Linked DNA regions of Arabidopsis thaliana. The protein of the gene in region 2 interacts with the protein of the main gene of each other region in a pairwise test. Each region holds a gene or a part of one and is shown on either strand. Other genes may lie near its edges.

Region 1 (8,639 bases), on a different chromosome or scaffold from region 2:
TTTGCTTGGAGACCTTCCAGGTGATTGTTATGAGTCAATATATACGTAGAGGTGAACAGATTCTCAAAAAAGGAAGATGCAATTTTTCCTTTATCACTGTTTCTTGTAAATTCCTGATCATTCTCATCAAGTAGAAAGCTTAACTCATTCTTTAATCTCTCAGAGTGTACAGTAGCATGAAAGAATCCAGTATTCTTGTCACCCCCTGCAAGCCATTTTTGTCTGCTTTTTTGTCTCCAAAACAATTCTTCATCACCATATGCTAAACTCAGTTGATCCTTGATATACTCAATTCTAGGCCAACATGGAATTTGAATACTCTTCTCTGCATCTAAATCTTTTCTCAATCTCTTAATTCTACTTTGAGCATTAGTATCAGACGAATGTTTCCATACACTGATAGCTCTACGACATTCAATAAGACTGAAAAAAGAAGAGTGAGTACCTTGAGACATTGCACTATTCCAAGAACGATGTATAACCTCAATACAGTAGGGATCGTCATCAAGTCTTTTATCATAACGAAATTGTCCACGAAAAAGCTCATTGTCATTAGTGAATTTGACCAATACCGGGCGATGATCAGATCCAAACTTCTCTAAAAACCACTGATGAGCATTAGGGAAAATAGAAAACCAAGCTGGATTTCCAAAGCATCGATCCAATTTACACTGAACCCACTGATCATTTCTGTTTCCTCCCCAAGTGAAACTATTACCTGTACTTCCTAATTCATGCATAGAACAGTTGAGTAACATGTGTTCAAAGCATTGAAAAGAAGAAGGTGATCGTCTTGGTCCTCCTAATTTTTCATCATTCGACCTAATATCATTGAAGTCTCCTATTAAACACCATGCTTCTGCTCTCTTGAGACCAATAGAATTCAGGTGTTCCCATAGTTTAGGTCGCATATGGGTAACCGGAAGTCCATAAACACAAGAAATAAACCAAACTTTATTTCTAGAAGAAACCTGAAGATCCATAAGATTTTTATCAGCATAAAGAAACTCAATCTCCAGATGGCTTTTCCAGAAAATTGCTAAGCCACCACTTCTTCCTTCAGGTTCTACTGTATGTATAAAATCATAACCAAGCCAACAAAAAACTTTATAAACAAAATCTTGAGAATTTTTTGTCTCCATGAGGAATAGAATGTCTGGAAAATGATCCTTTTTCATTTCCTTCAAGTATCGAATTGTCCAAGGATTCCTCAGACCTTGACAATTCCAGCTAATGACGCCTTACTGATCCAACGGTGGTTCCTGGAAAACCACCGTATTTTTATCTTTCTTTTGACATTGAGAATCAGAGATGTCTGGAGGGTTTGCTTTTCTTTTGAAGACTTTAGCAAATTGAGGCATTGAATCAGATGATTTGTTTCTCTTCTTCATTGACCATTTTCTCTGTGATTTGCCTTTCCTTGAAGCAGAAGAAGAGAACTCTTGCATTAAATGATGTTGAAAACCTGCAGTCGAGGTACTAGCCTCACCATAGCCTGTTGTGAAACCAGTTAAAACTTCTAAATCAGCAAGGTCTTCAAAAACCTTATCATCTCGAAGAGTAGAAGCAAAACCAGAGACTGGTATATCCGTTGTTATCATAGCCTCGCTTATTAGTTTCGAGTCTGATACTTCAGAAGGTAAAGGAACTTGAAACTTTGAAAGACGTTCTAACGAGTTACCTTCGGGTGAAGATCTCTTGACATGAAGATTTATAGGTTCAGAAATCTTCATAGAACATTTGTTTTTATCATGAGTTAATCGTTGACAGTGGAAACACCTTTTCCTAATCCTCTCATAATCAAAAGAAATGAGAACAAGTTCACCTGAAGGAAGTTGAACCTCTTTATTGTTACGAAGAGGATTGGCTACAGAAAATAGAACTGAACTCGAACATAATCTTGAACCTGTGATTTTTCAGGATCCATGACAACCTGCATCACTTTCCCTAAACATCCCGCAATCTCCTTAATCGTGTCTTCAGTATAATAGTTAACGGGAATATTTCTGATTCTAACCCAAATTGGGAGAAACCTCAGATAGTCATCAGGTGGTTTCTCTATCCATTTTTGCATAACAACTGCCCAATCATCTTGTGTCCACACTCCAGTCTTCAAGATTTCTTCTAAGTCTTCCTCATATTTAAAGAAAAATTGAAACCGCTCTTTCGAAAGAGCCACACCTCTAACACGATTAGATAAACGCCAAATACGAGGCATGTCTAAAATCCAGTTAGACATCCGTTGATTTTCTGGATTTAAGAATCTTCCCAGAATACTACAGCTATTGCGTTCAATAGAGGAAAACTGCGGAAGATTTGAGAGAATCAGAGGTTGATTATCTTCAAGAGACATGTTTTGAATAGCTTTATCCAAGTCTTTATCCATGAAAACTTCAGCAAGCAGATGACAGAACAAAAACAGAGCACTTTGTAAAAGTTTGTTTTAACCGGACCGAAAAAGTTAATATCTCCGGTAGAAGCTCCGCTCAGATGAAAACAGCTGAGAGAGAAGTCCTTGAGCCCAAAAGAAATCTGGGACGGCGATTGATTAACGGCGACGCGAGATCTTTATTTCACCTACTATGAAAGAGAACAGAGAGTTTATTTTTACTATTGAACTTTTTCTGTGTTATAAAGTATACTTTTGAACTTTTCAAACTTTAAATTGATTACTCCAAAATGCAATCAGTTGTTTTCAGTGACCAACGAAACTGAAAAATTAACAACCAGAATTTATAAAATTAGAAAATGGATCTAAATGTAACTAATCAAACTTCCGTCAAATTGTGGAAAATAAGAAAAGGGGATGCAAATGTAAATAATCAAATTTCCGTCAAAACCTGGGAAAAAAAAGAAGAACTCGCGGTCCGGGTTTAAAAGCGAGGCTGACCAAAACCGACCCTAATTTGTTGTAAACTTGAGATTTGATTTGGGACTCAAATTCAAAGTTACCGTTGTTCTCGAAACCTCGCGTAAGTTCCAATGGAAGCTTCACTAATGGCGGATTTGCAGAGATTTCTGCAAGATCGCTGCTTAGGCGTTTCGAATCTCCCACAGAAAGGCCGCTCTCTATTCACTGCCAGAGATTTTCGTCCAGGTTCGTTCGTTTCTCTCTCGCTGGGGTTTAGGGTTTTGTTCGTCTGAGACTTATTCTGATTCCTGTGTTTTCTTCCAGGAGAAGTGATTCTAAGCCAAAAGCCATATATATGTGTTCCGAATAATACATCCTCGGAATCAAGATGTGACGGATGTTTCAAGACCAATAACCTTAAGAAATGTTCTGCTTGTCAAGTGGTTTGGTACTGTGGGAGCTCTTGCCAGGTATATCTGATATGAGTCCTCTCTGGAGAAATTCAGTTGATGATTGATTCATATTCTAAGATTTGTTGTTTGTTGTGATTCCTTTCAGAAGTCAGAGTGGAAGTTACATCGCGATGAATGCAAAGCTCTCACTAGACTTGAGAAGGAGAAACGGAAGTTTGTTACTCCTACAATACGTCTGATGGTTAGACTTTACATCAAGAGGAATTTGCAAAATGAAAAGGTTATCATCAGCTATGTAGAAGTCTAGATACATCCATATTTTGTTTTTGGCTGCTAAATATGGAGAAGAAGGCTGATTCATTGGTTATTTGTGTCATATTGATAGCAGTCTATGAATGCTAAATTCTTAATGTGCTTTATCTTGTCCAGGTCCTGCCAATTACGACGACAGACAATTATAGTTTGGTGGAGGCTTTGGTGTCCCGTATCCTCTCTATGTGTGCCTTATAGCTTTGTGAAATTGATGATCTCTTTACCGCTAGAAATGTGTATTCTTTAACCTTTATATGTTAGACATGTCTGAGATTGATGAAAAGCAGATGTTGTTGTATGCACAGATGGCTAATCTTGTGAACTTGATTCTTCAATTTCCTAGTGTTGACCTAAGAGAGATCGCCGAGAACTTTTCAAAGGTTGGTGATGTGGTCCCGGGATTTTTTGTATTCGTCTTTATTGGAATGTTGTTTAGGGATAATTACTTAAGCCACTTTCATTTCTACTGAACACAGTTCTCATGCAATGCTCATAGCATTTGTGATAGCGAATTGAGACCTCAAGGGATTGGATTGTTTCCATTGGTTTCCATCATTAATCACAGGTAAATGCTTTTTCTTTGTGTTCTTTAATCACTTTGTTTCCTGCCTAAATCTTTTGCTCTGTAGCTGCTCTCCCAATGCGGTTTTAGTGTTTGAGGAGCAGATGGCTGTTGTTCGGGCGATGGATAACATATCAAAGGATTCAGAGGTAGTTTTTGCTTTGTTTCGTCTCTCGTCTTTCGTAATTGCTAGTAGCACACGGACATATAGCTGTTAGATCCTTTTGTCTTTGGTCAGATAACTATCAGTTATATTGAAACCGCTGGAAGCACTCTGACTCGGCAGAAGTCTCTGAAAGAACAATACCTCTTCCACTGTCAGTGTGCCCGTTGCAGTAACTTTGTAAGCAGTCGCTAATTCTCCCACTTATCAACGAATGGAGTTAATTCTATATTTTGTTTACAACCTGTACCATCATTTTTTGATACTTAAGGGAAAACCTCATGATATTGAAGAAAGTGCAATATTGGAAGGCTATCGGTGTGCCAATGAGAAATGCACCGGTTTCTTACTCCGTGATCCTGGTATGTTAAGATTTAACTTAGGTAGTTTGTATCCAAGAACATTTCTTGATCCCTCCAGTCCTCATTTGTTTACTTTTGCAGAAGAAAAAGGCTTCGTTTGCCAGAAATGCTTGCTTCTTAGGAGCAAGGAAGAGGTTAAAAAGTTAGCAAGTGATCTCAAAACAGTTTCAGAGAAGGCTCCTACATCTCCTTCCGCAGAAGGTATCTGTTGCCTTTGCTTCCTCAATACCTGCATTTACATGTCTGAACAAGATTAACTGATCTTCGTTAAATTGAGCTGTGTTGCAAGTTGTCTAAGAAAATCTTTGATCATTTTCAGATAAACAAGCCGCTATTGAACTATATAAGACAATTGAGAAACTACAAGTTAAGCTTTACCATTCTTTCTCCATCCCTTTAATGAGAACCCGTGAAAAACTTCTCAAGGTACGTATCTTTAGGACTTTTGGAAGTTTTACAGAGTTTTGAAGACGAGACAGATATGGTTTCTCAAAGCTTGCCGTTACACATTCTTTTGCAGATGCTAATGGACGTAGAAATCTGGAGAGAAGCTTTGAATTACTGCAGACTAATAGTCCCTGTTTACCAAAGTATGTTTACTTCATCTTGATTATTACGTTGCTCGCTCCTTGACGCATGTTCGATCAATATTTTTCTTTTCTTTAGGATACCTTCTAGTATATAGATCTAGGTGTGGGATTTATATCTTGAACATAAGTACGAAGCTCTTAAGAGTTTTGTATAGATACATTTACTTATAATTACCGTAGGAACTTATTGCCTGCAGTATCAGAGCTAACTGTACTGGCACTAATGGCTGCTAATTATACCTTAAACAGAAACATCTACATAATAATTATAAAATCATTCAAATTCTTTTGGTGGTTATTACTTGTGCTTACCTTGTTTATAAAATTGCAGGAGTATATCCGGCAACCCATCCTTTGATTGGACTGCAGTTCTATACCCAAGGAAAACTCGAATGGTATCAAAGCTTCTTTGCTTTCTCTAGTTTATATTTTGATAGATTTTGAGCTGCGGAAACTGAACTAGAATTTGAAGACAGATTAATGCTCTATATCACGACTATTTAATTCTCCGGTCAAAATCCTTAAGACCAAATAATAAGTGTTTTCCCTCAACTATCAAAGCTACATGTTCTCAGTGTTGGAGACTCTTATTCTACTGTGACTTTTTCAGTCAGGGAAGTGGGAACACGTAGAGATTGGCTAGTGTTAGGCGGAACTTGGCTAATAAGCCTTCAAGATATCCCTAAGTTAGAATCTCTGTGGAAAGAAACATTCGTTTACCTGTAAAAAATTATCATTCATATTTTAACTTTCTACGTGAATCTGAGTCTGAGTGCAATAACATGGTGTCGGTTACTATCATATTCTGCGGATAAAAAAGGTATAATTGTGATGTTGCAGGTTGCTGGGGGAAACCAAAGAGGCGGTGAGTTCATTGATTAAGGCATTTGACATTCTGCGGATCAGCCATGGAATAAGCACACCTTTCATGAAAGAGCTCTCAGCAAAGTTGGAGGAAGCTCGTGCAGAAGCTTCTTATAAGCAGCTTGCATTGCATTGAAAGACGCTTATAATGATGACAACTAGCAACTTTGATCTCTCTCTTGTACAAACTCATGAATCACTTTCTATACTCTCTACACATCTTGAATATATTGAATTTGTCTTTACAAATTCTAGAGCTGAAAACCTGATAAAATTGATCTCCTCTATTTGATCTAATATAATATTTTGGCCACACATGTCAAAATTAGAAATATATAGCCAATTATACAAACTAAATGTAATATGTATTGCATACTCACATGTACCAACTATATGACGATATGTAGTCGCATCACTACTATTTTGTTCCGGTACACCATTCATAGATATCAACTTCAACAATCGTTAACCAACAAAAATATTAAAAAAACATATTGTTATCAAATAATCTGCTCAACAAAAATATTAAAAAAACATATTGTTATCAAATAATCTGCTTGTTACATTTACTTGGATATTTGGATGATCCACTTTTTCATTAATCAGTTTTAAAATTTCTCATCTAAGCACAATATATATAATTTTATTCAAATACTTTATAACCTGAAATTCTTTAATTTCCTACACCCAAAAAGAAAATTTATTTTGCAAAATGGAAAAAAAAAAAAAAGTTTCACCCGAGAAAAGTCTATTTCTTGACACAACGCATATCGAAGCTTCTCCTTCTCCATATCTCTCTCTCTCCCTCCCTCTGGCAATGCTGTTTCGATGGCAACCTCATTTCCTATTCATTAATGCCTCACAAATCCCCTAAGAAAACATCCTCATTGCGTAGGGTCTAAGAAACCGAAATCCCACAAAAAAACTCATGGGTCTCTGTTTCTCCTCCGCCGCCAAATCCTCCGGCCACAACCGCAGTAGCCGGAATCCCCACCCACATCCTCCTCTCACGGTTGTTAAATCCAGACCACCGCGATCTCCATGTTCCTTCATGGCCGTTACGATCCAAAAGGATCATAGAACGCAACCGCGACGCAATGCAACGGCTAAGAAAACGCCGACGCGGCATACGCCACCGCACGGGAAAGTGAGAGAGAAAGTTATAAGCAATAACGGTAGGAGACATGGAGAAACGATCCCCTACGGTAAGCGTGTAGATTTTGGGTACGCTAAAGATTTTGATCACCGTTACACCATTGGAAAATTGCTTGGACATGGTCAATTTGGTTATACATATGTCGCTACCGATAAAAAAACCGGTGATCGTGTCGCCGTCAAGAAGATCGATAAGGCCAAGGTATGATGATGAATCAATCATTTTTGCTGTCTTTTTCTAATCATTGAGTTTTATTTTATTTAAGATTCTTCAGATTTTGGAGCACAAAGATTATTTTATATATTTAAAATATATTCGGATTCTTGCGTTTCTTGATTTGATTTTTGTTGGGTAGATGACAATTCCGATAGCTGTGGAAGATGTAAAGAGAGAGGTGAAGATATTACAAGCTTTAACTGGTCATGAAAATGTGGTTCGGTTTTATAATGCCTTCGAGGACAAGAACTCTGTTTATATAGTTATGGAGTAAGTAAAAAGCCTTTTAGGTCGTGTGTTTTTCTTTTCTTGTAATGCAAGAAAGGCAAAGGGCGAAAACTTCTCTGTTGCTAATTAGTTTTTCCATTGATGATATATTGTTCTCTAGGTTATGCGAGGGTGGTGAATTACTTGATCGTATTTTAGCCAGGTAACTTTAGTAATACGTTTACATGTGTGTTACTAAAATTTTAGAGTCTTATTACTTTTTGAGTAATTAAGCTATTGTTGTTGCTTGTTTCCAGGAAGGATAGCCGTTATAGCGAGAGAGACGCGGCCGTGGTGGTGAGACAAATGCTGAAAGTTGCGGCTGAGTGTCATTTACGCGGTTTGGTTCACCGAGATATGAAACCAGAGGTAGCTTAATTACTCCATCATCATGTTTCTGAATGTGTATAGTTGGTTTTATTCACAAGTATTGTTTTTTACTAATCATCTTCTCAAACAGAATTTTCTGTTCAAATCAACCGAAGAAGATTCGCCTCTAAAAGCTACTGATTTCGGTTTATCTGACTTCATAAAGCCAGGTTAGTAGCAAAGTGATTTAAAGTTTTTCTTGACATATCACTTCTTTGATCTAACCATTATGTAACAATGTAGGCAAAAAGTTTCATGATATTGTTGGGAGTGCATACTATGTAGCACCTGAAGTGTTAAAACGTAGGTCGGGACCTGAATCAGATGTGTGGAGTATTGGTGTAATCAGTTACATTCTTCTCTGCGGGAGACGACCATTCTGGGATAAGACTGAAGACGGTATCTTCAAGGAGGTTTGTGTAGTTTCCCTGAAGTAAAAATTCATCAGTAATCGTAAATCTCTAATCATGAAGATGTGTTTATAAACATAGGTTTTGAAGAACAAACCTGATTT
Region 2 (6,453 bases):
CAAGTCTTTGATTGATGATGCTAAATCTGGAACACCAACTAATAAATCCAAGAATTTGCCTTCTGTGTTTCTGAGCAGCAGCACTCCCCCACTATCTCCACGAAGCTCCTCTGGTTCCCCTCGTTTCTCCAGGCAAAGGACTAGCCCTCCTTCTCTCCACTCTCCTCTTAGATCACTCAAGGAGCCAAAGCGCCAACTCATTCCTCAGGTTTGTTCTCATTTCCTGCCTCTGGACCTGTGATTTTGGTCTAGTATCTATGTTCACTGGATTGGTCGTTGAAACAGATAGCTTTCGTTAGTAGATGCAGGGTACAATTTAAACCGAGGCTACTAATTTGTAGGTAAACTTGATTTGAACGAAAAATGGTCCTTCACTGTGACATGATAATAAGTTTCGCTCACAACTGTTCATATGTTTATAATTTCTGCAGTTCTACTACCAACACGGGCGTCCACCAGCAAAAGAACTAAAGGAGCAATGTCTATCCATGGTTGATCAAGTTTTTAGTAACTATATTGATGGACTACATGTAGATGGTGATGTTTTTGTTCTATTTTTGTCCTTCTAAGGAATATATAAGGCAGTTCATTTTACCATTCTCGTTCCTCTTGCAGAATTCAAATCCATTACGAAACAAGTCTGCAAGCTGCCTTCTTTTCTTTCTCCTGCACTTTTCAGAAAGATCGATCCCAATTGCACTGATATAGTTACAAGGTAGCTCCATATATGACTCATTTATTCTTTTATAAAATGTTTTTTAAAAGTAGTATGAGAACTTTGGGTGCTTGCTCTATTTTCTTATAAAGCTTTGTTGGGTAATTGGTGCGGTACTAATGTTTGCTGATTGACCAATTGTCCTCAGGGATGCATTTATCAAGTATTGGATTGATGGCAATATGTTAACTATGGACACAGCCTCCCAGATATATAATATACTAAGGCAGCAGGGCTGCAGCTATCTCAGACAGGTCTTTTTGTGATTCTTCTCCCGCTTTTCTCCAACCGCGTTCTGATTTATTTTCCAACAATTGTCTTCCTTTTCTTAACCCATTGTGCCATACATTTTGATCATTTCTTGGATTTGGCTACAGGCAGACTTCAAACCAGTTCTTGATGAGCTTCTGGCAACACATCCTGGATTAGAATTTTTGAGGACGATAAGCGAGTTTCAAGAAAGATATGGTAGGAACCATTGATTTGTGACTTACTGATTGTCATGGTGTTAAAAATGATGAAACCTACTCAATAAGACGTTCTTTCTGTGCATACATCTTTATATCTCTACTAGATATGTACTTATGTTAGATTCATACTTGTACTAATTTTAATCCTTTGTTGATTACCCAGCTGAAACGGTCATCTACAGAATATTTTACTACATTAACAGATCCGGAACTGGCTGCCTTACTCTTAGAGAGCTGAGACGTGGAAATTTAATTGCTGCTATGCAACAACTTGATGAAGAGGACGACATTAATAAAATTATTAGGTGAGTTTATTTTTTCTTTTCATAATTTCCTAACAATAAGTATTTGAAATTCAAACATATTCTGTTGTTATATAAGGAGTAAACAAGCTTACGAAAATATATTAAAGTTCGAGGGTTTATCACATATGTAACATTAAACAGTTCAAAATGGAAGAGCTATATGAGTATTGGCTTATACCTTCATATTGCTTCTGTAACAGAACTTATGCCTGATTTTACCATTTGCAATCATGTCGTTTCTTTTAATTTTCAGGTACTTCTCCTATGAGCACTTCTACGTGATATACTGCAAATTTTGGGAACTTGATGGTGACCATGATTGTTTTATTGATAAGGACAATCTCATCAAATATGGTAATAATGCCCTTACCTACAGGATTGTTGATAGAATATTTTCACAGGTTGGTTCCCAAAATTGTTCCTGCCTAGACCTTCTTAAAAGCTAAGTTATATAGTATGATGTGATCCTTTTTATTTGATCTCCATGCGTCTTGTGGCTATGTTTCTCTTTTAGATTCCAAGGAAGTTTACGAGTAAAGTTGAAGGGAAGATGAGTTATGAAGATTTTGTGTACTTCATTCTCGCTGAGGAAGACAAGTCTTCCGAGCCTAGTCTTGAGTATTGGTACACATCTCCCCCTCCGTGTTGATATTGGTTTTCCTTAATGAATGTTGCCCCTTGGTTTAGATCACAAGATCTTGATATATATACTACAACGGAGTCAAAACCAGTGACTTGAGGACTTGTTACTTGTAACAAGTCCTCTTCCTCAGATATATTTAGTAATCATTGTATGGTACCATTTTTTCATGAACATAGGATCCTTGTTTATACTCGGGCACTAACAATCTAACAATCTGATACTAGTTTATAGCCTAGTATGCTCATCTATCTATTATGGATGTCAAAACTCAATATTTTTGCAAGTCCGTGTATTTTACTTGACACTGATTGAAATTTTCCGTGCAGGTTCAAATGCGTAGACTTGGATGGAAATGGGGTAATCACTTCAAACGAAATGCAGTTTTTCTTCGAAGAGCAGCTGCATCGCATGGAATGCATAACCCAGGAAGCTGTTCTTTTCAGTGATATCCTATGTCAAATAATTGACATGATTGGACCCGAGGTTAGTTACTTTACAAACCAGAACATGGTTGTTTGATTTTTCCGAGCTTTTTTGTTATTTATCATTTATTTGACTGGAATCATCTATATGGTGGATGTCCTTGCAGAAGGAGAACTGTATCACCCTCCAGGATCTGAAAGGATCGAAACTTTCAGCAAACGTTTTCAATATACTCTTCAACCTTAATAAGTTCATGGCATTTGAAACACGTGACCCATTTCTCATTCGCCAGGTAAGTTTGGCTTACCAGTGGAGTTTTTATAGCACTCAAGAGGGAAAAAAATAACAAAGAATATGACTTCTTTTAACTGCTAAAGGCAGTTTGTAGTAGTTCGGATTGAGGCAATTAGAACAAGTATAATTCTCTTTCATTGCTGTAGGAACGGGAAGATCCAAATTTGACAGAGTGGGATCGATTTGCTCAGAGAGAGTATGCGAGATTGTCAATGGAGGAAGATGTAGATGAAGTCTCAAATGGGAGTGCAGATGTCTGGGATGAACCACTCGAACCTCCATTTTAGTCCATAGTGGTAAGTTCACACTGCTTGTGTATAGGAAATGCAAATGCTTATAAAATTCTGTGATTTATTGAGTCGAAAGCCGATCTTGACTACAGAAACCAACCAAATAAGGAGACTTATGATTTGAGGTTTTCCCTGGAGAGAGATCCATGATCAGAGATTGGAGGTCACTGTTGGTTGTTACCAGACGCTTTCATCATCATTTCCAAAAGAGTCTCAGCCAAATTCATGAAATTTTTGCAATTTTGTTTTGGTTTCATTATAAAGATTATATCAAGTTGGGCCCTCTCTCCCTCTACATCATCTAGTGTCCATATAACCAGTTGGATTGTCCAACTCAGAATGTACTCATAAATCTGAATTGTTAAACTCTTTTAGTCTTTACTGTCACACGAATATATTTTCAGAAAGAAATCTGAATTGTAAATCTCTTTAGTTGCACTGATATCTTTTTCATAAAAAAAAAAAGAGAAAGAAATCTGAATAGTAAATCTTTTTTCTTAATTAAAAAGAAAAGAAAAAACATCTCCTTATAGTATAGTTGATAGAAGGTGCAAGTCACGCGTTTAATGTGCGCGTGATTAGTTAATTAAACTTGTATATAGAGAGTAAGCGCGTGGTTACATTGCAAAACACTAGAGATAACCCTAGAAAGATCTCTCTCGATCTCTGGTTCGAAGAAAATCCACCATTTCCGATTGTTCTTTCTCTTTGACAAAACCCAGATAGATAAAAATTCGTTCCAATTCCAGTGAGCTCCGGAAATGGCGTCCTTCAAGTTGATGTCTTCTTCCAATTCCGACTTGTCTCGCCGTAATTCTTCTTCTGCTTCATCTTCCCCTTCTATAAGATCATCGCACCATCTCCGACCAAATCCTCACGCCGATCACTCCAGAATCAGTTTCGCTTACGGCGGAGGAGTCAACGATTACACTTTCGCGTCTGATTCAAAGCCCTTCGAGATGGCGATTGATGTTGATCGGAGTATCGGAGATCGGAACAGCGTTAACAACGGAAAGAGTGTTGACGATGTTTGGAAAGAGATTGTATCTGGAGAGCAAAAGACGATCATGATGAAGGAAGAAGAACCAGAAGATATAATGACACTTGAGGATTTCTTAGCGAAAGCAGAAATGGACGAGGGAGCTTCAGATGAAATCGATGTGAAGATTCCAACGGAGAGACTCAACAACGACGGTAGCTATACATTTGATTTTCCGATGCAGCGACACAGTTCGTTCCAGATGGTTGAAGGATCAATGGGTGGAGGAGTAACGAGAGGAAAGAGAGGGAGAGTGATGATGGAGGCAATGGATAAAGCTGCAGCTCAGAGACAGAAGAGGATGATCAAGAACCGTGAATCCGCTGCTAGGTCTCGAGAGAGGAAACAGGCTTATCAGGTTGAGTTAGAGACTTTGGCTGCCAAGTTAGAGGAGGAGAATGAGCAGCTTTTGAAGGAGATTGAAGAGAGCACTAAAGAGAGATACAAGAAGCTCATGGAGGTTCTGATTCCGGTCGATGAGAAACCAAGGCCACCGTCGAGGCCCTTAAGCAGGAGCCATTCCTTGGAATGGTGAAGTGTGGTAAAAAAAACTTTTGTATGTAAAAAAAATAAAAACATATGGGCTTGATTACTATATTATAATCTATATAGTAAAGTGATGGTGATATGGTTAGTACTTAGTTACCTGTAATGTATCTAAGGGATGTAATGGATAATACATAGCTTTTTGCTGATTTATAAGATATCTATGGACCAGACTAGATGGGATAAATTCTTTTTCTCCCTAACAATTTTGTTGGTCGATTCAAATTAGAAAGTGGTTGGTTGTGTTTGATTAGGCAGGAGCAGAGAGTTCTTCGTCTTCTTTATTCTCCTGGCATCGTTTTAGCATCTCAAGTTGGCGTCGTAGATGCAAAACCTGTAACCCACCAAAGGAAAACGATTTAACTTAGCTGACTTTACTACATATTTCTCATCTAATGGATTCTGGAGTTCAGCCTTAAAAAAGAGTCAGCTTCAGAAGGTAATCCTCAGACTATATAACTGAGTTTCATTTCTGTTTCTTATCCTAAGAATTAGAAGATATATAACTCAGACTCCAAGTGAAGAGTTGGCTTAGTTATGTACCTCTTGTTGAAGCAAAGTCGGGTGGCTAACCATGGAAATGAGCTGTTTCATTTCTTGCAAAAGTGACTGGTCTTTGATACCTGACCACGTCTGTGGAGGTAAAGCCAACAGAAGAGCAGTGAACACATCGTTCCCGGATGGGTAAGCTACCACTGTCACTTTCTCCTCACCAAGACCTTGATGTAAAACAAGAAATTCAAAGAAAAAAGTGATTTCTTGATTAGAACTTTGCACACTACTAACTTCAAGCCAAGGTTTCTGAAGCGCTTAGAAAGATAACCAGAATGTAAGAACAAACATACCTTTGATACATTTGACACAAGTTTCCTTACAACAGGATTCATCTGATTCATATCCCGATAAGATTTCATCTCCGTCACAATAAACCTTAGCAGCAACATATGGCAGATTGTCTTCGTACACAGAGGAGAGAAACTTATCCACATGCTTGAACAGTTTAGTTTCTTGCACTTGTTTCAGTAACTCTTGCTACAGCAAAACGAACCATAGAACAGTGATGAATAAACTGATGGAATATAAACATGGAAAACTAAAGTTCAGAAGCAAATGGACAAGATAATACCTTTAATTTGAGCCTTGATTTCTCTTCTGAGCTAAGATTTTGATTTACATCCTCTGTTCTTCGAATCTCAGCCATCCATTTGATAAATTGGTTGAAATTTGCTGGAAGTGACTTGAATACAACATATAAGATTCTTTCAATAGTATCAACATGTTGTGAGCTTACAAGACGAGGAACATCTTCCTTCAAATACTTTGCAATGCTGATCCAGCTCTCATCCTTACAACTCTGAAATCGATAATCAAGATATCATTACTCAGTCCTATTCGAAAGAAATGTTATTGTAATAGCAGCAACTACTAATAGAACCATGACTTTGGACTTACTAATGTATAGAGCAATCCTGGTTCTCTGTGGGGTCTTGATATAAGCATGAACCTGGAAGTAAAGCAGAATAGCAAAAAGAAACGGATTACATTCTTTAATCATACAAGTGAAGCCTAAGAAAAAGAATAGAGATCCATGTACCCTCTACGTCTCCCTGTTGACTGATCAATACTATCCATGGCATCCCAAAGAAGTTTAAGAGGAACCCAGTGAGGAGGATACTTGAAACGAGCGACATCAAGAATCAAAGCCATATCTCTTTCAGCATTATAACC

Evidence for each region. Proteins that work in one complex are often made in the same cells at the same time.
Region 1: the proteins of GBF4 (region 2) and SDG37 interact in a two-hybrid assay, tested with the Arabidopsis thaliana proteins (one large-scale study listed by BioGRID).

What each region holds. Positions count from the first base shown.
Region 1 is NC_003071.7:7,771,034-7,779,672, reverse strand, and holds SDG37 (SET domain group 37), read left to right. Parts: upstream 1-2,847; 5' UTR 2,848-2,982; coding exon 2,983-3,097; intron 3,098-3,175; coding exon 3,176-3,321; intron 3,322-3,409; coding exon 3,410-3,544; intron 3,545-3,693; coding exon 3,694-3,748; intron 3,749-3,837; coding exon 3,838-3,956; intron 3,957-4,052; coding exon 4,053-4,141; intron 4,142-4,205; coding exon 4,206-4,287; intron 4,288-4,376; coding exon 4,377-4,481; intron 4,482-4,572; coding exon 4,573-4,663; intron 4,664-4,744; coding exon 4,745-4,864; intron 4,865-4,982; coding exon 4,983-5,089; intron 5,090-5,183; coding exon 5,184-5,253; intron 5,254-5,584; coding exon 5,585-5,648; intron 5,649-6,093; coding exon 6,094-6,253; 3' UTR 6,254-6,453; downstream 6,454-8,639. Other genes in the region: AT2G17905 (Ta11-like non-LTR retrotransposon), read right to left, coding at 1,868-2,386; CPK16 (calcium-dependent protein kinase 16), read left to right, coding at 7,046-7,474, 7,629-7,759, 7,878-7,919, 8,014-8,125, 8,217-8,295, 8,369-8,538, 8,617-8,639.
Region 2 is NC_003070.9:1,014,336-1,020,788, forward strand, and holds GBF4 (G-box binding factor 4), read left to right. Parts: upstream 1-3,764; 5' UTR 3,765-3,901; coding exon 3,902-4,714; 3' UTR 4,715-4,912; downstream 4,913-6,453. Other genes in the region: AT1G03960 (Calcium-binding EF hand family protein), read left to right, coding at 1-208, 432-537, 616-715, 864-969, 1,093-1,183, 1,349-1,490, 1,744-1,891, 2,005-2,114 and 3 more; PCS2 (phytochelatin synthase 2), read right to left, coding at 4,976-5,059, 5,269-5,444, 5,571-5,757, 5,852-6,079, 6,178-6,229, 6,320-6,453. UniProt on the Arabidopsis thaliana protein: Binds to the G-box motif (5'-CCACGTGG-3') of the rbcS-1A gene promoter. G-box and G-box-like motifs are cis-acting elements defined in promoters of certain plant genes which are regulated by such diverse stimuli as light-induction or hormone control.